Linked DNA regions of Rhinolophus ferrumequinum. The protein of the gene in region 2 interacts with the protein of the main gene of each other region in a pairwise test. Links are inferred from orthologs where the notes say so. Each region holds a gene or a part of one and is shown on either strand. Other genes may lie near its edges.

What was found.
Region 1: the proteins of FXR2 (region 2) and NDN interact in a two-hybrid assay, tested with the Homo sapiens proteins (2 studies listed by BioGRID and IntAct). The link is inferred for Rhinolophus ferrumequinum from reciprocal best matches to the Homo sapiens genes FXR2 and NDN.
Region 3: the proteins of FXR2 (region 2) and PAF1 interact in binary tests that used the Homo sapiens proteins (3 or more experiments, as listed by UniProt). The two-hybrid records come from large-scale screens. The link is inferred for Rhinolophus ferrumequinum from reciprocal best matches to the Homo sapiens genes FXR2 and PAF1.
Region 4: the proteins of FXR2 (region 2) and FTH1 interact in binary tests that used the Homo sapiens proteins (3 or more experiments, as listed by UniProt). The link is inferred for Rhinolophus ferrumequinum from reciprocal best matches to the Homo sapiens genes FXR2 and FTH1.

Annotation. Positions count from the first base shown.
Region 1 is NC_046311.1:14,636,032-14,643,118, forward strand, and holds NDN (necdin), read right to left. Parts: upstream 2,478-7,087; 5' UTR 2,351-2,477; coding exon 1,373-2,350; 3' UTR 795-1,372; downstream 1-794. UniProt on the Homo sapiens protein: Growth suppressor that facilitates the entry of the cell into cell cycle arrest.
Region 2 is NC_046304.1:11,268,744-11,276,920, reverse strand, and holds the start of FXR2 (RNA-binding protein FXR2), read right to left. Parts: upstream 3,183-8,177; 5' UTR 2,817-3,182; coding exon 2,736-2,816; intron 1-2,735. UniProt on the Homo sapiens protein: mRNA-binding protein that acts as a regulator of mRNAs translation and/or stability, and which is required for adult hippocampal neurogenesis. Specifically binds to AU-rich elements (AREs) in the 3'-UTR of target mRNAs.
Region 3 is NC_046298.1:38,559,524-38,567,015, forward strand, and holds the start of PAF1 (RNA polymerase II-associated factor 1 homolog), read right to left. Parts: upstream 3,087-7,492; 5' UTR 2,971-3,086; coding exon 2,924-2,970; intron 2,405-2,923; coding exon 2,375-2,404; intron 1-2,374. Other genes in the region: MED29 (mediator of RNA polymerase II transcription subunit 29), read left to right, coding at 3,457-3,672, 4,178-4,236, 4,509-4,593, 6,401-6,676. UniProt on the Homo sapiens protein: Component of the PAF1 complex (PAF1C) which has multiple functions during transcription by RNA polymerase II and is implicated in regulation of development and maintenance of embryonic stem cell pluripotency.
Region 4 is NC_046294.1:9,007,084-9,014,570, forward strand, and holds FTH1 (ferritin heavy chain), read left to right. Parts: upstream 1-4,078; 5' UTR 4,079-4,282; coding exon 4,283-4,396; intron 4,397-5,746; coding exon 5,747-5,893; intron 5,894-6,207; coding exon 6,208-6,333; intron 6,334-6,429; coding exon 6,430-6,591; 3' UTR 6,592-6,751; downstream 6,752-7,487. UniProt on the Homo sapiens protein: Stores iron in a soluble, non-toxic, readily available form. Important for iron homeostasis. Has ferroxidase activity. Iron is taken up in the ferrous form and deposited as ferric hydroxides after oxidation. Also plays a role in delivery of iron to cells.

The DNA.
Region 1 (7,087 bases), on a different chromosome or scaffold from region 2:
GGACCACGTTTCCAATCTCAGCTTCACTGCCACCCAGGATTATGACTTGGTTAGGTCCACTGATCTCTCTGAAATGAAGATTCTTAATTTGTACAATCAGAGTGATTGCTTTCTCTAAAAGATTAAAGTGAGGATTAATTAGAAAAGTGGAATCCATAGGCTTGTGTGTGTGTGCATTGGGGGTAGGGAGCTAAGAGACTGTAACACAAAATTTAAAAAAGAAATAAAGTAAGGCAGGAGGTGGGGCAGCGGTCACAGGCAGGTGAGGAAAAGGAGAGGCTCTGGACCCACTCTGTCTGGGTTCAAATCCCAGCTCCTCCTCTTACTAAGCTTTCGGATCCAGGGAAAGTTAGTTCCCGACTTTGCTCGGGGCAGATGTAATGAAAGCCTGTCTCATAAGGCCGTCGTGAGGATTCAATCAAAGGAGCAAATGCACGGGAAGGGTTTAGTACAATGCCTCCCTCTTTAAGTGCCCACAAAACACAGCTATTAATTTTAATAAAATGTACAAAATTCAAGAGAGGACGTTAACAGTGGTTTTTACGTGGTGTGATTATGAGCATGTTTGCTTTCTTTTTCTTGTTTTTCTACTTTTCTGTAGTTGTCGAAGTTTTGACGTGAACCTGTGAGTTACATTTAAACAATAAAACTGTAGCGTTCACACTTTTAGGAGTAACGATGAGTCGTGACTGTCCCACCTTAGTAGACGAAAAAGTTATGGTATTTGTACATTTTGAAAAACGTCTCACTCCCAACTTACATTGTGAAAGAGATAAAGTACACTTTTCCAAAAATGATTGTATCACAAGAATCTTTAATGTTGCAAGTTTACTCATGGTGGGGTTGTACTTGTGTTTAGTAAACTGTGCCAAGTGCCCACATTGAGACCATGTGAGACCACACCGGCGCACTCCGCACGGGTGTTTCCTGTGCCCCGCGAGGTCATTAACTGAGGGGACCTTGACTTTTCTCTTGGTCAGGCCAGCTTTACTGGGGAGTTCTTCCTGCCTCCCCGGGGCAGTCTACCCGAGACACACATCATCCGTTCCATAGAAAAGAATAAGATGGAAAACTTCTCAATGTATTTCATAAGTTTAGCACATCTCTGGTACAAAAATTCAAGAAAGGTAGCACAAAAGCGAAAGCACCGACCGAGCTTACTTATAAACAAACATGCAGAAGTCCTACCCACTACCTAATAGTACTGAAATGAATACAACATTGCATTAAAAGGTATAAAAGCACTGTACTGAAAACTTAAAAGTTACACGTGAAATACTGCACTGGAAATCCTGAATACGCTACCGCCCACCCACCCCCGCCCCGCCACCCTGGTGAGGGTCAGACACCAGGAATCTGCCTCCAGACCTTGCTAGTCCTCGGAGACACTGCTGCGGGGGCAGTGGGCAGTGGGCTCGGCCTCCCGCAGCGCCCTGGCCTCCTCCAGAGCCTCTCTGTATCGGGAAGGCCAGGCCTGGGGGTCTTTCTTAAAGACCCTGGCCAGAAACTCCATGATTTGCATCTTGGTGATCTCCCGGCTGGCGCGGGCGCCCCAGAAGAACTCGTATTCAGGTGGCTCCACGTGGGGTACGCGCTGGTACTTCAGGTAGTTCTGCTGCACGAACTCCTCGGTGATGAGCTTCCTCACGTCGCCAAAGGTGGAGTGCTTCTTCCAGGGCCGCAGCCCGAGGATGCGCAGCACGTTCCAGACCGCGCTCTCCCGGGCGCCGCGGCCCTTCACATAGATGAGGCTCAGGATCATGAGCAGGAGGCCTGTCATGGGCATGCGGTTGCTCAGCGCCACCCTGTCCAGCTCCTCGGGCTCGAGCGCTTTGACCAGCGAGAACTCCATGGTGTGCAGGCTGCTCAGCCTCAGGTGCAGCCCGAACACTCGGGCGAGGATGAGGCTGGTGCGCCTCAGGATGCTGCGGCACCACTTCTTGTAGCTGCCGATGACATCTTTCACCATGTCTGGGAACCAGATGATCATCCTCTTCTGGTCCTTCACCAGCACGTACCACATGAGCTCGTGCGCCTTCTGCACCAGCTGGGCCGGGGCGGGCGGCGCGGGGCCGGGCTGGGCCGCGCTCGGGGCCTGCTGGGCGCGGCCTTCCTCCGCGGCCTGCTGCAGGGCCTTCGGGTCGGCCTCGTCGCTCGGGGCCTGGGGCGGCGGCGAGGCGACAGGGGCGTCGCTCGGGCCTGCGGCGGGGCTGTCCGGCCCTGCGAGGGTCGCGGCCTGAGACGCGGGCGCCGAGGGCCCCCCGGGAACCCCGCTGCCGCCGTGCACCTCGCAGGTGGCGGCCTGGGCTGCAAAGCCGGGGTCGCACTCATCCTTACTTTGTTCCGACATGTCGGCTCTGTGTGACCAGGGCAGGGCCTCTGCGTCCAGGAGCTCTTCGAGCTTGCGCTCCCTCCGCGGACTCCTGGAGAGGAAGTGCGCGTTGCTGCGCGCGGCGCCTTCCGCAGAGGCCAGGAGGGGCGGGGCGGCGGCGGGCGGCCACTGCGCCTGCGCGTCCGCCACCGCGGGCCCGGCTGCCGGGGGTGGGGCGGGGAGCCCGACGGGGCGGGTGTCCCCCGAGCCCCCTGAGAGGGTGAGGGCAGCTGGGATAAGGGCAGCAGTGACCCCCGGGTGGCCTGTGGGCGCCAAGCACGTCTGGGGACGGAGAAGGGTGAGCACTGGAGAAGGAGCAAACTGAAGCAGAAAGATGAGAACTTAACTTCTGAGATGCTGAGGTTGAGTTTCTTAGAAAACGTTTAACAAGGTACATCCAGAAGCAGATTAGATACAAGCGCCCCAGAGAAAGGCGTCGGCTGTTGTGTAAAGGTGGGTTTCCTGACAAATATATATACACACACATATTAAGAAAGGAAAAGCACTGTATTAAAATTGTAGTACTCAATATAGGCTGATAACGAAAGATGAATACAAGTCATGTGTATACATGTTTTTGGCACCTTGGGTATGTAACATGTATAGAAGCACTTATGAAAATGTTCATAAAAGCACGACAATTACAACCGTTTAAGATGTCCTGCTCGGGAGCTCTCAGAGCTCAGGCCAGACAGCAGCCTCCTGGGATTCAGTTGCTGCCGGAGCTGGACTGCGCCTCATTCTGGTGAGGCTGCCCCTGGCCAACAGTGGAGCCTCGTGTCTACCACAGCTCCGTCACAGCTCACGGCTGGCAGGAGGGCCGGCTAGGACTGTGTCAGGGTGTGTAGTTTGTGCTCGGAGGGTTTAGAGTATTGGAACCGAATCCCAAGTTTGGAATCAAGTACAGGGTAGACCCTTAGCGATGCTCACGCTTGCAGCCCAACTGGACGCCTCTTCAGATGACGAGGATGAGGTCTGCTGAAGAGGCTCCATTGCCCACCAACAAGAAAGTTCCTGTAAAGGGACGTGGAAATATGTAAAGCTTGGGACCACCTTTAAGTAGAGAAAATGCACTGGCACGTGTGTCACGGGAGGGGTCAGTAGCTTGATGGCTTCCTAAGAAGGTGCCTACCCATAAGCCAGAGATGCAGACTTTCGTGACCATAAGGAAGGGGACAGATGACACCACGGGAGGGGAAGAAGAGGAAGCCAGTACTCATGAGGCTTCTACAACTCCTTTAATTCAAGGTCAAGGATTGGGGATGAGATCCAGTGTTGCCCTGAGAATTCTGAGGATTCATCAGGCTTGCTGGGTTTCCCCAGGTTGGCCCTATTTGATAAGGGCAATGAGTCCTTCCCCGCCAGCATCTTAGAAGCAAATGCTCAAAGTTTACAAAAAAGCTCCCCAAGCAAACTCGTGAAGGGCTGCCTTTAAAATCTAGATTCTGTAAATCTAGTTTCATGGATGCAGGAAGTCTATGGAGAAGTTACCACTTAAAATCTTCTGGTGCAGACAGTTTTGCTGGTGGCTTCCTTCAAACTCTATAATGTGGAACCGATTACACAGCTGTGGGATAGGCTGTTCTTGGCAGACTCGGGGAACGGGAGGAGAGGCCTGTCCTGCCACTGGTTTCCATAGTGAACAGAGGAAGGGGGGTCACCCTGGAGCCTCCGGGGGAGAGCACGCATGCTCACAGCACAGAGGCCCAGAGGCCCCGCGTGAAATGTGACTCTTTCTGGCCCCATCCTGTCCACACAGGCAGCACACTCAACCTTGAGTCCCGCACGGGCCCCACATGCAGGCTGAAGGACTGAGGAAGATAACTCGCATGAACGTGCTCAGCAATTATTGAGCAACGTCTGTTATGTGCCTGAGAGTTTCATTTTAGAAAAGTAGCTCGTTCTCGGGGGGTGGAAAACAACCCATCGGGACTGTTTGCAGCCTGGCCACTTTTTCTTAGAAAAGAATAAGATGTGAGACCAGGCAGGGCTGTTTTTTACAGTTGGGAGGTGAAGGGAGGGGACTCGAGCCTGGCCCCTCAGCCACTCCAGTGTCCCTAGAGTGACACTGCATGCCTGTCCAACTGAGGCCCAAGGACACTCACTGAAATGTGAGAGCTTCTCGTCCCGCCCAGACCCACAGGGACCCACAGGGACTGACACTCAGGCACGGACAGGGTCGGTGTCTTCAGAAAGGTCAACTGGAATCAGAGTGAAGCCTGGATGGAGGCTGGGGGCAGGTGGAGAAGGAGAGGTAGAGAGACCGCCTTGGAGACCTTCCACGGGACTCCACTTGGAAAGGAGGGTGCAACTATTTACTACACCCTACATTTCGGGCATTGTGCCTGAGTATAGAACGAGAAGAGACCTGGTCTCTGCAGTGTATCGTGAGGGGAAATGGTGGAGGGGGAGGGCCCCGAGCAAAGAAACAAATGAGTAATTAAATAATCATGGTGTGATGCGTACCACGAAGGAGCCATGATATTGAGGCAGAGCAGAGAATAAAGGGAACCAGTGTCGAGCAGGGATGGCAGAGAAGATATAGATAATAAGGAGATGCGAGGGGAGACTGAGTGCCGGGGACGACCAGACTCTGTCTCGGGGTGGCCGGGATCGACCAGTGCCACGCGGCTAGGATATGGAGGCACTGTTTCCTGAGACTACTCGGAGAAGAGAGTGGACACGCCCTGCAGATATCTGGATATATAGGTCTCAGGAAAGAGGCCTGGGCTGAAAAGTGAGGTTTGGGAGGTAAGACGGTAAATAATGTCACCCTGAGAGCATCTAGAGCAGAATTCTTCAAGGGGACCGCTCGTGGTGCGAGGGTGGGGTAATTTTTCATTGTGTGAAAATGTAACACACACCACAGAGATTGACACCTTGGTCCCCGTAAACACACATGTAAACGTCTTTCTGACATGGACAGAACAGAAAGTGTAAGAAGAGAAAAAAGATGCCCTCCCCCTACAGTGCCAAAAGCCCTTTTATGGGCCGTACCTTTTCTTGTTGAGAATCATTGAAAATAACAAGTGAGAAGGAAGAAAGACAGAGCTGAACCAACAGGCCTCTTTCCAGACATATAGGATTTCCTCACTGTATCTGTTTCTGGGACATTTCTTCTTGATGATAAATCCTGTCAAATAAACAGACCTGCGTTCAAGTTTGTGTTGCGTAATTCTTTTTACATATTGCTGATTCAATCTGCTGGTATTTTGTTGAGGATTCTTGTGTGTGTGTTCTTCTGGGATATTGGTCTGTAGTGATCTCTTTTTGTGCTGTCTTTATCCGTTGTTTTTTACATTAAAGTATAGTTGGCATACAATTTTAGATTAGTTTCAGGTGTACAACATAGTGATTTGACATTTATATACGTTACAATATGATCACCACTCTAAGTCTCGTACCCATCTGTCACCGTTATTGACAATATTGACTATATCACACTGTTATTGACGATATTTCCCTTCACCTTTGTGACAAATCCTATCACCCACCCACCCCCATCAGTTTATTTTTTGTTTTTGTGAGTCTAGTTTTGTTTTGTTTGTTCGTTTGCTTTGATTTTTTAAACTTCCATATATAAGTAAAATCATGTGATTTTTGTCTGTCTCTAACTGACTTCTTTCACTTACATAATACACTCTAGGTCCATCCATGTTCTCGCAAATAGCAGGATTTCATGCTTTTTTATTGCTGAATAATTTTTCATTACACACACGTGTGTGCACGTGTGTACACACACACACACACACACACACACATCTCATCTTCTTTCTCCATTTATCTATCAATGGACACCTAAGCTGCTTCCACGTCTTGGCTATTGTAAGTAATGCTGCAGTGAACATAGTGGTGCAGATATGTTTACAAATTAGTGTTTTCATTTTCTTTGGATAAATGCCCAGAAGTGGAATTGCTGGGTCATATGGTAGTTCTATTTTCAGATTTTTGAGGAACCTCCATACTGTTTTCCATCGTGGCTGCACCAATTTACATTCCCATCAATAGTGCACAAAGGTTCCCTTTTCTCCACATCCTCACCAACACTTGTTTGTTGACTTTTCAATAATAGCCATTCTGACAGGTGTGAGGTGACATCTCATGGTAGTTTTGATTTACATTTCCCTGATGATTAGTGAAATTGAGTATCCTTTCACATGTCTGTTGGCCATCTGTATGTCCTCTTTGGAGAAATGTCTATTCAGGTATTCTGCCCATTTTTTGATTGGATGTTTATTTTTTGTTATTGAGTTGTATGAGTTCCTTAATATATTTTAGATATCAACCCCTTATCAGATATATCATTTGTGAATATCTTCTCCCAATCAGTAGGTTGTCTTTTTGTTTTATTGATGGTTTCCATCACTTTTTAGTTTGATATAGTCTCATATGTTTATTTTTTCTTTTGTTTCCCTTATCTAAGGAGACATATCCAAAAAGATATTGCTAAGAGAGATGTCAAAGTGTTTACTACCTATGTTTTCTTCTGGGAGTTTTATGGTTTCTGATCTTACATTAAGTACTGAATCCATTTTGAGTTTACTCTTGGATATGGTATAAGAGAGTGGGTGGTCCAGTTTCTATTTTTTTCCTTTTTGCATGCATCTGTCTATTTTTCCCAACATTACTGTTGAAGAGACTGCCATTTCCCCATTGTATATTCTTTCCGCCTTTTTCATATATTAATTGACCATATAAGTGAGGGTTTCTTTCTCG
Region 2 (8,177 bases):
AATCTACCTTCCAATCCTGGACTCTCAATAGAGAGGAGGGAGTTCTGGGAGAAAAGCAGGAAGGATCTGGGTAAAAATCACGTGTTGAAGCTGAGGATGCCATATTCCTTATGAAAAGAATAGGAACTAGGATATCCAGGCAAGGTCTGGAAATGTGGGTAATTGTGCCCTGGAAGGTGAACAAATATTTCACTTGGCAGAGTACAACTTAAAGAATAAAATACCTTAAGTTCTGACAGAAAAGGAAGAGCTCATGGGATACCTACAAAGTAACTTAGATCCCAAATCTGATACCTGCAGTCCTTTCATGGAAAATCAAAAATAGGACTCAATTCTGATAGGGGAGAAAGGGACCTCCCCAAATATACAGTTCTAGAAGCAATGTCAACACTCCTTGACCCACACCAAAGTTTGCTGAGTCATGAATATTAGATCTGTGGCAAGGTCAGAATGGGTAAGTATATGGCACTGAAAGCTGAAGAAAAATTAGTCTGAATTTAGGGATTTATTGTTGTGTTTAACTAAGGCTTGGGGCAGAAAATGCTAAAGTGGCCAGAACAAAGAATCCACATTACCTGGTTTTTGGCTCAACTCCAAACTCTATTCTCTGATTCAAAGTATCCTGTCCCCAGTTCACTCAAGTCTATCACTGCCATAGCCCCCAGGAGAAAAGGGAAAGATTCAAAGATTTTCTGTTGGACACTTATATGTGGAAAGGGAAACATCCCCCTTCCTAGCTATGTCACACAGTTAATTTGAACGGGATACCAATCTTCCCCAGCTGTGCTTGGCTCCCATGCTTCCTAGAACAAAAGCAAACATTGTATCTTGATCTGAGACTCAATTTAAGAATCACTTTCCTTGGAACCCAGAATCTGGGCGTGGGAAGGCCCAGATGAAGGACAAGATATTGGGGGACATGGGTTTCAAATCTTATGAGAAGGATGTTTCAAGAAAGGTAATGTAATTTTTTTGGGGAAAGAATAAAAAGAGACAAACGTACTCTATCAGAATCAGAAAGGAAATAGACACTTGCCAAAGAAAACAGAAATGCTATGGAGGCAGGCTAGAAGAAAAAGTCCCAGGAGTTAGGAAAGTATGCAGAAAAAATGACAGAAGAGATCAGCTGGGAACTTCCTTCAGACATTGAACACAGTGGTTCCTGGGGATTACACAGGAATATAAAAATATTAGGATAAAAAGTCAGAGATTTAAATCAAGAGAATAAGATTGTAGACAGATATATAAAGAAATAGGCACTAAATATAAAGAAATCTGGTATGGGAATAAAGGCAGAAATAGACAGGCATTTGAAGTGGGTAAAAATGACTACAATGAACTTATCAATTAAATCTGGGGCAGAAACCTTCCACTCCAAGGGCAAATATGAAACCCTTTACATAGTAAGGTATGACTTCATAGGGAAGGAGTTGGAGAAAGTCATTTCCAAGGGCATAAAGGTGAAGAGGTCTATTATGGGAGAAAGGCTTGAGGGGAAGTGAAGGAAAGGAGGCTCTTCTCACAAGCAATGTTATGCGAAGCTATCTCTGCTCTTGCTCCTCAGCGTAAAATGAAAGAATAAGACAGGAATCGAGAAAGTCTGTGAGGCTATTCCAGGCATGAAGTCCAAAGAGGTTCAAAATAACAACATTCACAAAGAAAAATTCCTGAGAGACAAGACAGGTCTCTCTCTGGTTTAACCTAAATGGGGAAGAGGGAGTCCTAGAAAATGGATTCAGAACAGATAAAGAAGGTGGTAGTAAAAGCAGTTCTAAAGAACCAAATCCTGGTCAAGGGAGGGGCTGAAGTAAACAAGGATCTTTTAAAGATAGTCCCCTTCTTTTTTTTTTTTTTTTAAAAAAAAAGGCTACCAGATTCCCAAATTGGGAGAACTGGCCGTAAGTCGTCTAGAAGTGGAAATCCTTCAGAAGGTAAACAGGGTATCTTCACGAGATCCCCCTTTTAGAGATCATGAATATGAAGCTCACATTCTTCAAGATGAAGAGACTGTATGAATGATCTAACCGTATCTGAGATCAAAGTAATAACAAATACAAATCCATCCCTGGGTGGAATGGTAGACCAGCTAACCTTGGGATAAATGGGTGGGGTGAGAGACTTGTGAAAAGGTGCCACCTTATGGCTAGGAGGCAACTTGACTGGTACAATCCAGAGTTCTAAGGTCAGATACGAAATGTCAGAGATTTTGACAATTTCTCCTTGGGTTAGGAACAGAAATAGAAGGCGAAAGGAGGGTGTCTTCCAGAGCCAGTAGGTAGGGACCTCTCCGAGGAAGATGAAAGGATCTAACATGGGACGGCCTTCCCAAGGGGAAAACAGGGAAAGAATAAAGAGAATTCTCCATGTGCTTGGAAAAGATGTGATTAAGCGCTAAGATATGTCTTCTACTAGGGAACAGGAAAAGTCAGTCAATACGAAGCTGGGTAAATGGGGTCTCTGGGGGGGTGGGGGACGCTGATCCAAGCACAATAATGTCCTTATGTTCATTCTCTCTAAGATGAGGGTAAAAAGCAGGTGTAACCGAGGGGCCAAAAATAAGCGGAAAGGGGTTAACTTGCAGAGGTCTCCCCAGGAGGGCTACGGGTGGGAGCGTGGATCTAAGGTTCTAAGGGTCGGGTCTCAGCTCCAGAAGCTCCATCCCGCCCCACTCTTCCCCGCTCTGGCTGGAGGAAGGGAGCTAAAGACGAGTGTCCCCAGTCGGCGCGCCGCCTCACCTTGTAGAAGGCCCCGTTGGAACCGCGCACCTCGACGGGCAGTCCCGGTTCCACATCCCCCCCAGAGGCCAGGCCGCCCATGGCGCCGCCACCGCTTCCGACTCCCCCGGCGGTGGCTGCAGCAGCGGTCTGAGTACGGGCCGGGCCAGCCCCCCGGCGTCTCCCCGGAGGAGGAGCCGGAGGGGGAGCCGCGGGGGGCGGGAGCCGGGCCGGCCCCACCGCGGCCCTGCCACAGCCAACGAGCAGGGGGCCGGGGCCGGGCCGCTCCCCGTCCGCCGCTGCCGCCTTGGTCTCCGCCACCGTGAGGGAAACGGCCGCCGCCGCCGCTGCCTTCGTCACCTCAGCTTCCGCCCGCCGCCGCCCTCGCTGCTGCCTCAGTCCCGGGACCCGCTGCTGCCGCTGCCGCTGCCGCTCCACAGCCTCCACCTCCCCCTGCCGCCGCTGCCTACTGCGCAGGCGCGCTAGGCACCCGCCCGCCGCGCGCGGGGCCCTGAGGGCCACGGCGCAGGCGTCGAGGCTGGCGACTCAGCTCGCGCTCAGCAGCGCATCGGGGCTTCCACACTCCCTTTCGCTCTCTCACGCCCCCTCTTGGTTGCTTATTTGCGCTTGCGCAGAACAAGATTGGCGCTCTTTCTTCGCCATCCCACCATTCCACCGCTCCCATCTCTTCCTTTCCCCGCCCCACAACACTGAGAGCTAGCCAATCATGGGGAGGGAGGGGCTGCGCTCACTCAGTCGGATTGGATTTCTGGGGTTCCTGGCCAGACCACACCCACTTCCCTGTGAGCTCCGCCGGGTTTGGACAAGTTAGGGATGGGCATGCGCCTGAATGACTGCTTGGTCACTTTCCCCACCTTTGTCTTTCTTGGTGCGCACGCTTCGCAGCAAAAGCAGAGGAGTCGAAAAGAAAAAAAAAAGTAACCAGTGCGCATACTCTGAACTTGACTGTCCAACCACACATACGTATCGACTCTTTTAAGCATCTATAACTCTGTGCAGTAGGAGATTTGAGACACGTTGTTGCTTTGAGAAGAGTCTGATCACGCATATAATGAAGGGCTAAAGAATAATTTCAAGGCAGTACCGAAAATCAAATGCCACTTAGCTCAGCACAAAATGTGATCATTTAAATGCTGAAGAAATAAAAAATAAAAAATACTGTTATGGAGTAAGGATAGTAGAGGGAATATTTGAATCCTTGAAGTAAGATAAGAAATTTAGATAGAAGTGAATAAAATTGCACAGAAATTAGACTCGTGTTGTGCATTTAATCATTTACCACATATTTATTTAACCCTCATTGTATTCCAATCACTGTGCTAAGTGCTAGAGATATAAAGACAAGGTGTGGTCTCTGATCTCATGGAATTTGTAATATTTTGGAGAACTGGCAGACAATTAAAGAAACAAGTTTTAACAAATTAACAAATTTATTAACAAATTTATTAACAAATTAATAAATTTATTAACAAATTTATCAAATTTATTAAGTTTTAATAAATTAACAAATAAGTACATAGAGTTCAATTGAAGATATGATAAAGACTATGCATATAGGGAAACCCATAGAGACAACGGTCATTGTCCTACAGAGTGATCAAAGAAGATCACTACAAAGGATGTGATGAAAATTGAGAGTTGAAGGATGAGTAGGAGTGAGCTAGCAGAAAAGTGCAGTAAGAGTATTCTGGAGAAAACAAGAAATACAATGGTGTAGAGGATCAGAAAAAGCATGTCCTTTAGGGAACCGCAACTAGTTCAAATAACATTGGTTTGAAGTAGGGAGCTATAGGAAACTAGATTGTAAAGGACTTGAAATCAAATTAAGAAGAATGGCTTTTACTTTATTAATAATGGAAAGTCATTGAAAGATTTTAAGCCATACGTAGAATGTGATAAGATTTACATTTTATAAGTATGGAGAACAAATTGAAGAGCAAGTGCCGTTCTGAAGGTAGTGAGACCTCTAAGGAGCCATTGCAGGTGAGAAAGATGCCGAGGACCTACTTGGATTAGGGGTACAAGTTGATCTGAGCCTGTTAAATTTGCTGTAGTCAACAAGAATTGGTGATGAGGGTGGGGTGGGATGAGGTCAGAAGCCAATGAAGAAGTGGTAGGATCACAACTACCAGATTTCTACTACTTTGGGTTACTGGGTGACTGGTGATGCCAATCATGGAAGAGAGAACACAGGAAACAAAAGTTTGGGGTTGATGAATTTAATGAGTTTGGTTTTGCTTTTTGAGTTTGAGGGGCCTATGGACCATTCAGGAGGACATGATTTCTTGTCTTCAACAAAGTCTTCTTTCAGGTCCCAACTTAAATATAATTTCGTTATCCTTCCACTATGCTCACACTAGATTAAGTCTCTTGCCTCACGCTGACAAAACAGCCTATACTCCTTTGTGGCACTCATCATAGTTGTAATATTAATAATTTATCCAGTATTTCTCTTCTGCCATCACACTATAAACTGTATGAAGTCAGAGACTGATTGACTGGGTTCCATGTCTTGTTTGTCCCCACCACTGTATACCAGTACCTTGCACAGTTCCTGGCACAGCAAATATGAACTGAATGAAGGAATCAATGTCCTGAAGGTCAATGGACACACAATTGTGTGACCTAGGAGAGGTCTGGGCTAGAAAGGTGGATGTGGGAATCATCAGCATATTAGTCATAGTTAAGGCTATAAGAGAAAATTAAATCTCTGAAAGAGAAGTATAGACTGACAAATAAATTAGGTCCAAAATGGAACTTTCAACTACACCAGTATTTAAAGGGCTGTCAAAAGAAGAGTTGCCTTCAAGAGTATCTGAGAAGGAGCAGCAGTAACTAGGGTGGCAGCAATGATAAAGAGACTATCAGCAGTGATTCTGATAGGAGAAGGGAGAGTTGCAGATATTAAGTGGAGCAGATTATTAAGAGTACTAGCTGTTAGACTGAAGAGTTTGGGTTTGTACTCTTAAACAATAGGAGTGATGAATTTTGTTTTAGAAATGATGCTATCACCAACTTCCAAACCTCTGGCACCAACAATCTTCTCAGGTTTGACTTTTCCTCTTCTTTATCTGCTCTAGTTATTCATTCAGACAAAGGATGGGAGTGGAAGAAGGGGAAACAAAATTTCACACAGGGGAATGGCATGTACAGAAGGCCCAGAGAGGGGAGTACAATGCATTTAAAGTAGTAAAAGGTCTAACATGATTAGAAGTGACTTAAAGAGGAAACATAGCTGGATGGGTTGGTTTGAGCCCAAGCGTGGAGGGCCTAAAATATATTTAGTTTTATGTTTGTAATGGCAGTGGGAGCCATTACAGGATTTTCAGTCGGCTTGCCTTTTAGTAAGATTACTCTAGCTGGAGTATAAATGATTTGTAACAGAATACCCCAGTTTGCCTTAGGATTTCTAAATAGAGAGACTGGGAGAAAGACAGAAAGATGGATATATCGATTGATGGGTGGTTAGATAGATACTGAAAATGGGGATTAAATGAAAATTTACATACTGAATGTTGAGACTTGCCCCAGACTTCTTCACATAGCTCTGAGAATACCTACAGCCAGGTTTATACTCTCCACGTGGGAGTCTGGAAGAGCCTTCTGTGAGAAATCTGATCAGACAAGAAAAAAGATCTAATGACACTAAAAGCAAGGGTTCCTCAAGGAAATGGCCTAGTGGATCACTCTACAGTAAAGTCCACAGTTAATATGCCACTTTACCACACACACACACACACACACACACACACAATTTTCCAATTAGTACTTTAGTGTCCCAATGTTAAATATGAGCAGACAACTGAGGATTACCAGACATTTGAGGAAAGCCTCCAAAATGAAAGACGGAGGCCAAAACAAGTAGAAAAGGTGGGGGGGGGGGGAATGGTCAGAAGAAAGACTACGTAAGATAAAAAACATTTTTAAAAAACGGCCATGAATATCCTTAGTGAGATAAGAAAACAACATATATCCAAGAAACAAAAACAGAATGCTTTAAAAATGCAGAGAACCAACAAGAGCTCTCAGAAATTAAAAATATGAAAGTAGAAATAAAAATTGAATAGAAGGGTTGGAAAATAAAAGTAAAGAAATCTCCCAGACAGTAGAGCAAAAAATGCAGAAGATAGGAAAAAAGGAAAGAAAACTAAAGACTAGTTCAGGGGACTCAACATCTGAATAAGAAAAGTTTTGAGATTATAGAAATAATGGAGAAGAGGAAATCATCCAAAAAGTAATAATTCAAAAAATGTTTCCATAACCAAAGAACACATCTTTCTAGTTTGAGAAGACCTACAGAAAGACATTTCTATGTAAAATTTCAGAATGTTAGGATAAAGAGACGATCCTAAAAGTTTTGGTTGGGGGAAAAGGGAAGGGAACCAAAGATAGGCTTCAAAGCATTCAGAATAAGAATGGTTTCAGGCTTCTTAACAGCAATTCCAGAAGTTTGAAAGAAATGCCTTCAAAATTCTTAGGGTAAATTGTTTCCAACCTAGTATTCAATACCCAGCCACAATGTCAATTAAGTGCAACAGTAGAACAAAAACACTTTCAGGCTTTAAAAGTCTCAACAAATTTACCTCCCAGGCCTCCTTTCTCAAGAAGCTCCATCAAAATCAACCAAGAAAAATAAAGATGAAGACATAGATTCCAGGAAACAGGTTTATCAACACGAGAGAGGCAAAAAGATGTGAAGGGAGATTCCAGTAGTGCCTCCTAAATTTCAGGCTCTGGAAAGTTCTTCAAACGAAATAAATCAAATTCCTATGTGTTTGTATATCCTTAGAAGAGATTAATACGACTACAGGAGAATTTTGAGGTAAATTAGAGTACACAGAAAACTAAGCAAACAAAAAAGACAAGGCAAGTATTAATTCCAGGGAAAACAAAAATGGTGCAGAAAACAACTATAATTATCCCCGTGGCTCCAACTGTAAAAAGCATTTGCATAATCATAATGATGTAAACACTAAACACAGATCCAACAAGATTATAATATAATATTGGAAAGATGGGAGGATGGAAGTGGGTGATGGGAGGTTGGAAAAGAGAGTTAGCAGTGGGAAGTCAATACCTAATGCCTAAAACAGAAACATCAAGAAGTAGCAATATTCACATGCTATTCTGAGTTTGGATTATGAAGGTGAATACAAAACAAAACAACAGTTTAAAAACTCAATTGAAAATTATTGTCTTTGAAGAGTGAGGGGAGTTAGAAGACTACTGTTGTTTTTATATAAGCCTTATAGAACTCTTTAAGTAATATAATGTATTTCTTGATTTGAAAAAAAAACAAAAACAACCCATAAAAGGGGGACATGTTACAGAAGGAGGCTGGGAGATTAGTTAGGAGGCTGTGGCAACTTTCAGAGACGTGATAGTGGAAGTGGGGATAGGGCAACGTGGACAGAGGTGAGAGATATTTTAATTGAATTTTCT
Region 3 (7,492 bases), on a different chromosome or scaffold from region 2:
TCCAGACAGAAAATTAATAAGGAAAATAATAGCCTTAAATATTACATTAGACCAGATAGGCTTAATAGATAATTACAGAACATTTCATCCAAAAGCTGCAGAACACACATTTTTTTTTGAAATGCATATGGAACATTCTCCAGACTAGTTACACAGTAGGCCACAAAACAAGCCTCAAATTCAATAAGACTGAAATCATATCAAGCATCTTTTCCTACCACAATAGCATAAAACTAGAAATTACAGGAAGAAAACTGGAAAAAACACACAAATATATGAAGACTAAACAGCATGCTACCAAATGGATCAAACAAGAAATTAAAACTATCTTGAAAGAAATGAAAATGAAAACACAACTTTTCAAAATTTACAGGATGCAGCAAAAGCAGTTCTAAGGAAAGTTCACAGTTATACAAGCCTACCTCAAGAAACAACAAAAATCCCAAATAAACAATCTTAAGTCTATACTTAAAGGAACTAGAAAAATAAAAAACAAAACCCTAAGTAAATAGAAGGAAGAAAATAGGATCAGAGTGGAAATAAGTGAAATAGAAATTTTTTAAAATAGAAAAGAGCAATAAAACTAAGAGCCATTTATTTGAAAAGATAAACAAAATTGACAAACCTTAAACCAAACTCTTCAAGGAAAAAAAGAGAGCCGAAATAAATAAAATCATAAATGAAAGAAAAGTTACAACCAACACCACAGAAATACAAAGAATCCTTTAAAGAATACTATACTTTATGGTCAGTTAATCTAAAATAAAGGATGCAGGGAAGTACAATAAGGTAAAGATAGTCTCTTCGATAAGTGGTGTTGGGAAAACTGGACAGATATATGCAAAAAATTCAATTGGACCAATGTCTTACACCATATACAAAAATAAACTCAAAATGGATTAAAAACTTAAACGTAAGACCTGAAACCATAAAACTCTCAGAAGAAAAATAGGCAGTAAAATCTCTGACATCGCTCTTAGCAGTATTTTTTTTTTTTTGTATGTCTCCCCAGGCAAGGGCAAAAGAAACAATAAATGGGACTACATCAAACTGAAAAGTTTTTGTGCAGTGAAGGAAATCATCAACAAAACAAAAAGACAACCTACTGAATGGGAGAAGATATTTGCAAATGATACAGTTGATAAGGTGTCAATATCCAAAATATGTAAGGAACTCATATAACCTAACACCAAAAAAACCCCAAACAATCCAATTAAAAAATGGGCAGAGGATCTGAACAGACATTTCTTCAAAGACACACAGGTGGCCAACAGACACGAAAAAAGCCTCAGCATCACTAATCATCAGGGAAATGCAAATTAAAACCACAATGAGTTATCACCTGTCAGAATGGCTATCATCAAAAAAATCAACAAATGGGCGGCTGGATGGCTCAGTTGGTTAGAGCCCAAGCTCTGAAAAACAGGGTTACTGTTTTGATTCCCACATGGGCTAGTGAGCTGTGCCCTCCACAACTAGACTGAAGACAGCGAGCCTCCGCTGAACTTCCAGAGGGGCGGCTGATGGCTCAGTTGGTTGGCGGGCGAGCTCTCAACAATAAGGTTACAGGTTCGATTCCTGCATGGGATGCTGGGCTGTGCCCCCTGCACCTAATGATTGAAGACCATGACTGGACTTGGAACTGAGCTGCACCCTCCACAACTAAACTGAAGAACAACTACCTGGAGCTGATGGGCCCTGGGGAAACACACTGTTCCCCAATAAAATTTATTTTTAAAAGAAACTTTAAAAAAATTTAAAAAAGAATGTGCTTTCCTTTAAAAAAAAAAATCAACAAATAACAAGTGATGGTGCGGTTGTGGAGAAAAGGGAACCTTTATACACTGTTGGGATTGTAAATTAGTGCAACCACTATGGAAAACAGTATGGCGATTCCTCAAAAAAATAAAAGATCTATACACCCCTATATTCACTGCAGCATTACTAGTCAATAGCCAAGATATGGAAGCAACCTGGATCGATGTCCATCAATATATGAATGAATAAAGAAGATGTGTGTGTAAAATTGAACATTATTCATCAATAAAAAAAGAATGAAATGTTACCATTTGGAACATCTATGGGTGGACCCACAGATTATTTTAAGTGAAATACGTTAGACAGAGAAAGACAACATAACATGCATGATTTCACTTATATATGGAATCTTAAGACAAAACAAACAAAATAGAAACAGACCCCCAGATAAAGAGAACAAGCTAATGGTTGCCAAAGGGGAGGGGGTTGGGGGGTTTGTAATCATAAAATACGCTGATAATATTGGTGGGGGGTGGAAACCGGCCCCTGCTGCCCCACCTCTGCTCCCTGCCCCCACCCCGGACCACCCCTCCTAGGAAAATATAAGGGGGCTCACCTCTCAGGCAGAGTCCGGTGGGAATTGGGCCTGGTGGGTAAGAGAGAGACATCGGTAAACGATGAAGAGAAGGAGACCGACAGGAGAGTGAACGGGGCTTCTCCAAACTTTTAAGAAGGGGATGACAAATGCTCATCCTTTCGGTATGGGTGCACCAAGTGCTTTAATGGAGGGAACCAAGTGTTCAATTCCTTTTAGAGAAAATGCTCAATCCCTTTTGAAAAGGGTGTCTTCAAGTGTAATCAAAAGAACCACGTACTCAACTGTTTTTGGAAAAGGGGGTCTCCAGACGCTTGACTGGAGGAATAAGAGCTCAATCCCTTATGAAAAGTCTCCAAGAGCTTAATCCCCGAACTCCATGGCTGGGAGGCAACATCCCATCCCTGAAGGAACTCACCTGCCTTCCTCAAACGTGAGCGCTCCGTGACGTCACGGGCAGACCTGGGGGGCTAGTGACGTTATAGGTAGACACCCGAGCCTAATCCCGGCCTCCTTGAAACCTGGACAGACCTAGAGGAAAGCGGTACAGCCAAGAGGTGTGAAGCCTACCTGTGGCCATCCTCCCGCTGGGCCTGGGTCTGGATGGTGGGCGCCATGGCGACGAGACGATTGCAGTCCGACTGGATTCCGCTGAGCCGCAGAAAGACAAGGTGAAGCGTGCAGACTTCGGCGGACACGAAATCCCACGCAGCGCTCGGGTTGGCGCCCCTGTCCGCGGGGTTAGCCCGGTGGGTTGATGAGAAGAGTTCTCAGGTAAACGCGCAGCCGCAAACTCGCAGCTGCAGGTCCACCAACTGCCGCCAAGACAGTGAGGCTCAGTCTGGTCGCCTCAAGCTGCGAGGCCTTCTGGGAAATAGAGTCCAGATTAAACCCACACCCGGATTGGCCAGCGGCTGAGTAAGGGTCAGACTGGACGTCGGATTTGACAGTCTGGTGTTGGAGAATGGAGTGCCTTTCCTTCCATTGGCTGAAGTGTTTGAGAGGCGGAGCTAACAAGCAAACAAGGCCTAGAGACGAAGACGCTGTAAAGAAAACCGGAGAGACACGCTTATAACGCACTTCCGGCGCGCTAAGGGAGAAAGATGGCTGCGTCCCAGCAGCAGGCTTCAGCGGCATCCTCAGCTGCTGGTGTGTCTGGCCCAGGTTCGGCTGGTGGCCCGGGTAGCCAGCAGCAGCCGCAACCACCGACACAACTGGTGGGGCCTGCCCAGAGCGGGCTTTTGCAGCAACAACAACAGGACTTCGATCCCGTGCAACGCTATAAGATGCTCATCCCTCAGCTAAAGGAGAGTCTTCAGGTGATTTGGCCGGGAGCTTCAAGAAGCAAGCGGGGTTTGGCTGTCTGACTTAAAGGGGGTGGGCGGAGGGGCTGTTTAGGCTGGGAGCGGGCAAAAGAAGCGTTAGGCAGGGAAAAGGAGTGAGAGTTGGTCCTAGTGGGAGCAGCGCGGATGTTGAGCCTGGGATTGGCCGGGATTCAAGTGGGAGGGAGTTTAAAGGAGAAACCGAGCTCTGGTCCTTAATGCCTGAGAAAGGATGGCTTGTACAGAGATTCTGCTTGTGATTGGTGGGTGAGGGCTCTAAGATGTGTCCGGGAGGTCATTGGCGAGAACCCCAGATGAAAACGGGCCCCTGGGAAAATACGGGTGATTATTGCTATAGAGGAATGGAAACGGGAGTTACTCTGGAGTGACAGACGGTGTCAAGTGAAGAGGCCTGAGATTGATTAAATCTTAAGGAAGAGTGTAGACTACCAAAAGTCTCTCCTTCTGTTTCTCCATTTCTCACCTTTATTTTTAAAACTAGACTTTGATGAAGGTTGCAGCCCAGAACTTGATTCAGAACACTAATATTGACAACGGACAGTGAGTATAGTCCCATATCCTAAGATGTACCCCTATCTCCACCCCATCTTAGAAACTCATCCCCCAAGCCCCGCCCACCCGCCTCCTTTCCTCCTATTTTCAAGCCGGGCTCCGTAGGGCCTTGCTCTTTTTGCCTCTTCTACTATTAACAATTCCATAGGCCCTGCCGCGGGGCTCCTGGGCCTATACCTGGTTTCCTCATGGTTACTTAGTTGGGTAGATGTCCCAGAGATTGAAAATCCGTTTCTCAGTCTCCTTCTCATGGACTATAGAAAGAGCAGTGATGGACCCATACAGCGCTTTGACAAGTGTCTGGAGGAGTTCTACGCACTCTGTGACCAGCTGGAGCTCTGCCTGGTAAGGGGCCTCCTAGACACTGGGTGATCACAATCTTGCCTCAATCCCTGGGTCTTTAGGAACCCTTATTCAGCCAGTTAACACACACACACACTGGCACCTCCTGAGGGCCAGACCTGTACTTCATCTGAAGCTGGGGACACAGTGTTGCCCTGATCTTTACCCACTCAGAGCTTCTAGTCCAGTGGGGTGACACACGTGCCCATCATTGAGGCCTCAGAGTGCTCAGAGCTGTGATGGAGAAGCCCAGGCCTTAGAGATCAGGGCTGGGATAGGGGATTGGGAACACGGCTAAAGAAGTCAGGATTGAAATGAGGGAAGCTCAGGGGGCTGTGGAAGCCCAGAGAAGGCACCTGACCCTGCCTGGGCTAGGGATAGGTAGAGAGTGACTCAGGGAAGGCTACTGGTGGAGAACACATCTGAGCTGAGGCAGGAACAAAACTGGAGGTGGGGCAGGAATCCAAAGGAGGGCAAGTGGCTAAGAGCCTCTGGAATCAGATGGACCACCAACCTCTACATCTGAGCCGAGGGTTCCTCCTTTGGAAAATGGATTTTCGGGAAACACTCAGCAAGATCATGAATGTAAAGTACTTAACATGGTACTGGGCACATGGCAAATGTTTCCGCAGTATTATCATTGCCATCATTATTTTGAACTGGGTTTTGAAGAAACAGAATTCGAGAAGCCTGATAGTGGTAGAAAGGCATTCCAGCCAGAAGGAACAGCTTCTGCTTTAAGTGCCCTTTAGGAACATCATGAAATTCAGTCTGGCTAAGGTGTAGTTCGGATTGGGGCTTGCTGAAGTTTAAATATAGTCCTGAGGGTGCTGGGGAGCCATCCAGAGTTTCAAGCAGGGAAGAACGTGGACCCATTGCTTTTTTAGGAATATGACTCTGGCTGCCAAATGAGGGGTGGATTAAAGGGGCCAAGAGTGGAAGCTAGGAACCCAAGAGGGCCGCCAGGGCAGGATTCAATGGGCGAGGCTCCACCAGGACAAGGCCCTGAGGAAGTGCGGAAGGGCCGATGGGAGAGAAACTCAGAGGCCATGGGAACTGACAGGTTGCAAGAGGAGGAGCCTCCAGGATGAGTCCCAGGGCTCTAGTTGGAATGGTAGTGCCCTCCCTAAGACAGGGACCTAGAAAGAGGAGCCATTGGGGGTGGGGGGAGTGTGAGAGCTCTGGAATATAAGGGGAGGCTGGGGACACAGATGTGCCGTCGTCAGTGCAGAGGTGGGTACTCAGTGATATACGGGAATGAGACAGCGCCAGAGGACTTGAGAATTAAAGGAGGAGATGGGATGTGGGAGTTGCTGCATTTAAGTACCTACAAGGAGCAACCAAAGAAGTAGGAGGAAAACTGGGAGCAGATGTCATCAGAGAAGCCACTGCCAATACCAAGCCTGGGGTTAGGACAGTCACAATCATAGTAGCTAACACTCATTCGTTAGCACTTAAGTGATGTGCCAGAACCTGTGTCTGTCCCACACCCTGTTCTCACCATTCTCACCTTATGAGTTGCAAAGATAGTTATTAAACTCATTTTCCAAAGGAGGAAAACAGGCTCAGAGGGGCGCGGCTGCTCACCTGAGCTCACCCAACAAGTGTTTAGCAGGCCTAGGATCTGACCCCCAGACCAGCAGTCCAGGGACCCAGCAGGCCACCCCAGGCTGGTCTTTGGGGCGGGGTTGGGAGTACCCAGAGTGAAGCTGATGTTGCACCTTGCCTGCCCATCCACAGCGCTTGGCACATGAGTGCCTGTCACAGAGTTGCGACAGTGCCAAGCACTCTCCAACGCTGGTGCCCACAGCTACCAAGCCTGACGCAGTGCAGCCTGACAGCCTACCCTACCCACAGTACCTGGCAGTCATCAAAGCCCAGATTGCCTGTGCCAAGGACATTCACACCGCTCTGCTGGACTGTGCCAACAAAGTCACGGGCAAGACTCCTGCACCACCTACGGGCCCTGGGGGTGCCCTGTGAGCTGGCAGGGCTGGGAATGGGCCAGGCTGTGGGGGAGAGGGAAAGGGAGGGAATGAAGAGTGGCCTCAAAGCAGCCTTGTCTCTGACTTTTCTTCCCGCCTGAGTACTGGGGCGAAGCCAGCAGGGGGCAGCAGAGGCCAGCAGAGCGCGCACGGGGCGGGGCCTTGCCTCAGCTGGCTGCCTGCTCTCCCTCCAAGTGTGGACCTTGGACTGTGCCTGATGATGACCTGAGGGGCGCGTCCCCTACCTGGCCTGGATGTGAAGCCCTCACTGGGCCCTCTCCCTCTATCCTTACTTGATTCTGTCCCAATTTAAGCATGATCTCTGTGTCTGTCCTTTTTTCTACCTCGCCTGCCTGCCTTTGTGTGTCTGCTGCGTGTGTCTATTGTCTCTCATTCAGTCTCTTTTTGTCCCTATGTCTGTCTCTGCTCTGTGGTCCTGTGTCTCCCTGTCGCTGACCATCTCTCTCCCAGTCCCCCTGTGCCGCTGTGTTCTGCCCCCAGCTCCTCACTGGGACTCTGTCTGTGAAGGAGGCCAGATTCTGGGAGCCAGAACCCCTGGGTTACCTGGAGAGGGACCTTCATTTCCAGGGGTTACAGCCAAGCCCAGGATCCTTAGCACCTCCCATTTCAGCCCAGCCTCCGGTGTCCTTGGTCTAGGAAAAGGGAAGTGGAGGGGTCTAAGACCTGACTTCAGCACTACTGATCAGGGAGCACTTCAGCCCCAACCCATACCCGGGCCTGGGCCTGCGTCAGCAGCACCCCAACTAAGGGCATTGTGCAATCCGTGCTGAAGCCTGGCCCAGCTGGATGCTTGGGTCCCTATATTTTTAGCCCCAAAGGAGAAGTGAAAAGGCCCCAGAAAGTGTGAATCATCAGTCCTGGGGAAGAACCCAGGCGCCTGAGCCCCAGCTCCTCCG
Region 4 (7,487 bases), on a different chromosome or scaffold from region 2:
CACTTTTGGAGCCCAAGCCCAACCCCTCCAGACTAGCAGAGTGCTGAGTCACGGTGGGGCAGCAACTTCCAACACAAACCCCCGCCCCACTTCTGCCATTCCTCAGCTCTGGGATGAGCCAGTGTTCTGCAGAAACCACTGGCCAGGTGGTTCTGTGTCTCCTCCCTCTGAGGCTGCGGTCCCTGGAAGCCAGCCAAACTCTCCACCTCCTCAAAGTCACGAGGAGCTGGGGCTGAAGGGGAGGGAGGCCAAATTCTGGTCAACAAAGGTCCAAAGACCAGGCTCCAGCTTTGGAAGAATCTAGAAGCTTGGAGATGGCAGTTCTGACACCCTGGCAAACAGACACACACATACACACCCAGCACAAGACTTCCCTTTCATTCTTCCCAGCTGGCCTCCCCAGTGAACTTCTACAGCCCAGACTGTCCCTCAGTTTTGCCATGACGTTCTCGACAACTGTGTATGTGTTTAACCAAGCACAGAGCCAATACTGGTTCATGAAATCTCTTTCTGCAACAGACCAACTTCATTCTGGTGGGTCCAACTTTAGGCTGGCTCTGGCTACCTGCATGTCCTGGAGGCCCTGAAACTCGGCACCTCCAGTCCAAAACCTAGCTTGCCTTCCCCAATGGCCTCTCCCCGAAACTGCATTTCCTCCTGTGCTCTCTCTCTCAGTGAATGGCAGCTGCAGCCCAGGTGGGAGGCTCCCTTGCCCACCTCCCACCCCTCACCACCACCCACCCCCAATATCCAATCAGCTACCTCATTCTGTCTGTTCTGTCTTCTCCATATCTCTCAGATCTGCTTTCTGTCTTCTTTGCTCACTGAGAACTAGGGCTGTTGCCTCCCAACTGGTACCCAACCCTCTGGCCTGACTTTAATCCATCTTCCACATTCAATCGTGCATCCATCTGTTCATTCAGCAAATACTGAGCACCAAGTAACAAGCACCTTGCACAATGCTGGGAGCCCAGGATGCCCGCCCTCGAGCTTACAGTATACAGTAGCAGGGAAGACAATTATAAGGTGTGATTTATATGTATATAATTATACATATGAATATATATAGTATGTTTATTCATCGTCACTACTTATAGGAGCTACAAATATCAATTCAATTTGTCATTTGAATTTTAACTTTGTTTATGGCATCTTTTGTCTTAGAGCTTTTTTTTAAGGAGGGCGCAGCTCAGTGGCCCATGCAGGGATCGAACCAGCAACATTGGTGTTACCAGCACCACGCTCTAAACAGAACTTTTCATTTTTAAGTAGTCAGATCGCCAACTGTCCTTTTATGGCTTTCGACAGCCTCAGAACACTCCTTATCCCAAAATTCTAAAAGATAATCTTCTATATATTCTTCTAGTAACTTCATAGATTTTTTTAAAGCTTGAATCTCTAATCCAGCTGGAACATGTTTTGAAATAGTGAGTCATCTTCTTCCACATGACTGTCAATTGTTTCAACATAATTTGTTGAACCCATTCTTTCTTTTTTCTTTTTTTTTTTTTTTAAAGATTTTATTGGGGAAGGGGAACAGGACTTTATTGGGGAACAGTGTGTACTTCCAGGACTTTTTTCCAAGGCAAGTTGTTGTCCTTTCAATCTTAGTTGTGGAGGGTGCCGTTCAGCTTCAAGTTGTTGTCCTTTCAGTCTTAGTTGTGAAGGGCGCAGCTCAGCTCTAGGTCCAGTTGCCGTTTTCTAGTTGCAGGGGGCACAGCCCACCATCCCCTGTGGGAGTCGAACCGGCAACCTTGTGGTTGAGAGCCCACTGGCCCATGTGGGAATCGAACCGGCAGCCTTCGGAGTTAGGAGCATGGAGCTCTAACCGCCTGAGCCACCGGGCCAGCCCTGAACCCATTCTTTCTCCCCTAATTTAAATTACCACTTTAGCATCTACCAAGTTCCTATACATACGTGGGTAGGGTTGTTTTGTTGCACTGATATAGTCAGCTCTTCCTTTGCCAATACCAACTGCTCATAGTACCTTATACTTTTACATATGTGTGTGTGTGTGTGTGTGTGTATATATACACACACACACACACATATCACGGAGGGCAAATCTACCCCCATAATCTTTTCCCCCACATACTTATCACCTATTCTACACACTCACTCTTCCAAATGAAGTTTAGAATCATTTTGTCAAGTTCCCAAAAAAACCAGTTTCATAGAAATTGCATTGAATCTATAGGTTTATTTTGGGAGAACTGACATCTTTACAAAACTGAGGTTGGTTATTTAGAAACATGGTGTCTCTTCATTGATGGAAGTTTTCTGTCCAGCAGTAAATATTTATAGTTTTCTTCACACATTTCTTATTACCTTTATTCCTAAATACTGTAAGCATTTGTTGCCAATGTAAACGAAAAAAATTGTCTTTCATTCCATTTTTAAACTGATGGTTATTATTATACAGGAAAGCTTTGTGACTGATGACTTGCTATACTCTTATCCTAATAGTTTTTCTGTTGATTCGGTGTAAGTTTTCTGAAAAACAAAACTAATGTGGTAGAAATCCCTTAGTGTTTCCACATCATCCAGGATAAAATTTAACCCCTTTTTACGGCACACATTCCTTCCTGACCTGGCCCCTAGACTACCCTTCCAGCATTCTCCAACATGACTACTTTCCAGGCCTATACTCTTTCTTAAAGTACCTTGGACAGGCCATACATTTCCACACTTTTACACGTTTGCATATGCTGTTCTCTCTGCCTGGAGAGTTCTCTCTCCCTCATCTCCCTCCTCCACTTCACCTTCCTTTTAACTTTTTCTTCACACAGCGCAAGTGCTACTTTCTTAGGAAAACCTTCCCTGATCTCCTATCCCAGGCGGAGTAAGGCACCCTTTGTCTCCTCTCCCAGCTTGCTTCTGCTTACTTTATTGAAGCTCTGGCCCCACTAAATTTTTTTTCCCTGAAAGTACCGTTTATTTTGAAATGAATAAAGACCCAAGAGAAAGAGCCATAATTCCATCAGCAACTTGGTTTAACATTTTAGTAGTTTCTTTTAGGTTTGGAAGTCCAGCTTCCAGTTGCAGGTTAGCATCCTGAAAGGGGTCTTGGATAAGTCTCCCCCGTGTCAAAGGACCTGGCTAAGAATAGTGAACTTCGAAGCCAGCAGACTGGGGGACAGGAGCTCGAGCCTGGCTCTAGTTCTTCCACCCACTGCGTGCCTGGGTCATAGCTGCAAGCCACATGCAGTGGACCTGCCCCTCCAGGGTCCCCGGTGCAAACCGCACCTGATAAAAGAGGTCATTTCAAAATGGCCACACAGCATCGTCTCCAGATGCGCGCCCAAGTCTCTTCTCCTTTTTCTAACTTTCCATCTGAGTTTCAAAGTGCCACCAGTGATTTTCTCAGGCCCAGGGGGCTCATCTCAAGGACTCCCACAGGGAAAGCGGTTTCATGTCTGTCGGGAAACACGGCCCGCCCAGCCTTTGTTGTATAAACTGCACCAGGAGCCATATTTGCTTTCAGTAAAGGGCGGGCGGGCGGGGGCTGATCCGAGGTGGCGTGGGCCCCCCCATTCCGCCTCCATTTTGCAGCTTCGGAGACTTTGAGGAAGAGAAAGTGTGTCCTTTCCCAGTCCAACCAGACTCAGTCGGCTTCCTAGGGCCCACGTTTCCATATCCAGTTTCCCAACTGGCATTACGAGGTGATCACCTCGGGGTGTGCTAACTGCTGCTCTGCCGCTCACATTAACAAGCCCTTGGCCTTGGCCCAGAGCCTCGGGGTGTCGTTGGGGACGAGAGTCGTCCTGATGCCCCGGGGCAGTTTCCCGTCGGTTCCAAGACCCAGGAGGCCACGCGGGCCCGGGCTCCGAGCTGGGCTTCCCGTCCCTCCCCACTGTGTCCCTTCAAACCCACCAAGCGCGCCACCGAGCGCACAGCCACCCTCCCCCGCCGCACGCTTTGCCGCACCCGCCGCGGCCTCCGGGCCTCCCCTCCCCCACCGGCCCAGCGGGGCGGGGCCTCACGCCCACCGGAAAAGACGGGGCCTGGTGCGACGGGCGATCCGCGCGATTGGTCAGCGCGAGCCTGACGCCCGCTCCCGCTATAAAAGGCCGGAGGCAGCGGCCTGCGCCACAGTCTTCGCCTGGAGTTGCCGTGGTTTCCTGCTTCAACAGTGCTTGGACGGAACCCGGCGCTCATTCCCCCGTCCCGCCGGCTGCTCAGGGCTAGCCTTCCGCCACCTCCTCACAGCGCCTGCCGACCGCCCTGAGGTTCCCGCCACCGCAACAGCGCCGCCGCCGCCGCCTCTCCTTAGCCGCCCACCATGACGTCCGCGACCTCCTCGCAGGTGCGCCAGAACTACCACCAGGACTCCGAGGCCGCCATCAACCGCCAGATCAACCTGGAGCTCTACGCCTCCTATGTCTACCTGTCCATGGTGAGCGGGCACGGCGTAGCCCGGCTGCAGGGCGAGGGCCGAGGCGCGGGGGCGGCCGCCCGGGCGCGGAGCGGGGGTGTGGCTACCGGGCGGCCCTCCCGCCCCGGGCGCCCTTCGGGAAAATGGAGGCTGCTCCGGGTCTCCCGGGACTGGTCTTGCGCAGAAGTTCTGGGCAGTTAGCTCTTGCCGACTGCTCCCTGGGAGGACTTCGTCATAGGCAAAGGCCTCCTCTGCGCACCCCTTTATGTGTAAGGAGAGCCTGGGTTCTTGAAATCCCGGGATTGCAGCACCTAAAACCTAGACAGCCCTGCAGTTAGGAAGGTAGATTTGTTTTGCATTTCCATCCCATCCTCTGCGTCTACGTGTCCCTGAGACCCTCTGTTTTCTTTGGTAAAGGACGAAGAGGTCCAGCTACCATCCCCCTGGGTATGGCGGAGCCTCCTGCGTAATGGTGTCGAATGGCAGCCTTGGGGCTGGTGCTAAGTGACTTATCTCCGGTGGGCCGACCACTCCCGAGCAGCTGTCTCCACCCCTCTGCTCTGCTTATCTCTAAGTCCCACTTGAATTGAAGCCTATCTCTAGAATCTCCCTGTCTGTGGATAGGAAGTTGTCTATGTCACCCGGCCTAGTGCCTGGGTGCTTAATTCTTTGTCTTTTTTGTATCTGTAATAAGAGTTGTAGCCCTCTAATAATTGAACCCTGAATTTTGGGATGAAACCCCCTGACAGCTACTGGGCAAGGAATTATTCTCTGTCGTGATCAGTGGAATCCGTTTTTCAAAATCCTGGTGTTAGTCGATGTGGTGGGAGTTTTAGTTAGAATTGTCTTAGGATCATGAAAATTATCCAAGAATAGACATGTTCTTGAAAACAGGCCTGAATTTCTATGACTGCCATTCCATTTGAGGAACACCTAAATGCAGCAAGTGTCCAAGACCGAATCAAATTTTTGCTTTCTACTGGTAATGATATTTACCTCCATTAGCATTGCACACAGTTGTCACCTTGCCTAGTAAGTTAATTTTAGAAATCCTTCAGTCTGCCAGAAGCTGGCAAGCTCCTGTTGTAAAAGGGGTTGATCAGGGAGGAGGGGCTAATAATGCAGGGTAAATACTCCCACAGCCTCTCCAGGGAAATTGGACACTGGCCGTAAGAATTTTGCAGTAATACAGGCGATTCAGACATTCCATACTGGTATTCCTATGGTATTGTAAAGGTTCCTTGTCGTAAACTTGGAATTTCAAGGGCCAGGTTTCATTTTTGGATTTGAAAAGTAGAAACTAATTTTGTTGTGTTCAATCTAGAAACACAACCTGACTCCTAACGTAACATGTTCACATTCCACGTACAGTCTTACTACTTTGACCGCGATGATGTCGCTTTGAAGAACTTTGCCAAATATTTTCTTCACCAATCTCATGAGGAGAGGGAACATGCTGAGAAACTGATGAAGCTGCAGAACCAGCGAGGCGGCCGAATCTTCCTTCAGGATGTCAAGGTGAACAAAAGGTCCTACAGCTGTCACACTTGCATAGTCGAGCAGTTCTCAGGTGTCAGAAATCAGTCAGAGACTAGCAGTTGCCCTTTTAAAATAAGGATACTTTGGGCCTTTACCTTTCGTGCTCTTTCAGGCCTACCATCTTAGCTAAAGTAGGCACCCAGTAATGAGCAAGGATGGTAAATTGGAAACTGTCGTCAAGGGAAACTCAGATGTCCCTTTTGCCAAAGCTCGCTGGTTACATTAGGTACCTGCTGAATTGCGGTTTATTGGTAGAGACTATAGATGCATTGACCTAACTTCCTTTCATTCAGAAACCAGACCGTGACGACTGGGAGAATGGACTGAATGCAATGGAATGTGCGTTACACTTGGAAAAAAGTGTGAATCAGTCACTGCTGGATTTGCACAAACTGGCCACTGACAAAAACGATGCCCATGTGAGTGTTGGCAACGTGGGAATAAATGGAGGAAGTCGCTTCCCTCGGGGGCTGGGAACGCTGGCCAATAACTTTCTTCCCTATTCTGTTTTCTAGTTGTGTGACTTCATTGAGACTCATTACCTGAACGAGCAGGTGAAATCCATCAAAGAATTGGGTGACTACATTACCAACTTACGCAAGATGGGGGCCCCTGAATCTGGCATGGCAGAGTATCTCTTTGACAAGCACACCCTGGGAGACAGTAATGAGAGCTAAGCCTTTGGCCGGCTTCCAGTAGCCACGGGGGTGACTTCCTGGTCACCAGAGCAGTACGTGCATGTTAGGGTTACCTTTATCTTTCTATAAGTTGTACCAAATCATCTATTTACGTTCTTTCGTTTGTACCATTTCTTCAAATAAAGTAATTTGGTACCCAGCTGTTGTCTTTGAGTTTTGGGGATGGGCTAGAAGTATATCTAGGCCCACAGTTCAGTCACACCGATCAAAAAGAAGTACGCCTACGAGGATTTGTACTTAGGAAAATCCTTAGTTGTATGAAACTCCTAAGTTTGGGAAAGATACCAAGGCTCGTTCGTGTGTGTGCTGATTTCAGACAGAACTAAAGGACTCCTGATTCTGAATTAGCTGTTTGGAATAACATGTTTCCTTCCAGTGATTCATTCTAGCTTTTGTAATTTTTATGTACAAAAGGGTTAAGTAGTCTTGCAAGTACTGATTTTTTGTTATCCATTGGGCTAACCATTTAATTCGGGCTGTCAGGAAAACATACTCTTCAGTGTGGACAGCTATATGGCTGACGGGGTCAGTGTCCCGTTGGTGTACATGCAGGCAGGACCAGGCAGGTGAAGCATCCCCCTTGGAAAGCAGGCTAGATATGTGCTTCATCCCTATTGAGAATTAGAAAAAATACGCAACATCGAGTACAGAAGATCTCTTAAACATTTCAGTACAAAGTTAGCTGTAGTAGGAAAGCAAAGACTGAGACTTCTTAATACTAAAATCCAGTGACCAATGTCAGGAGACTGCAGAGCTATTAACAGCCTTTCCTAAACAAGCCACAGTGATTTGTAAGTTTCTGTTCAGCCTTAGCAGCAAGACAGATTGTAGCCCTTTTAAGTTTTTAATCACAAAACTGTGTATTCTGACCACAG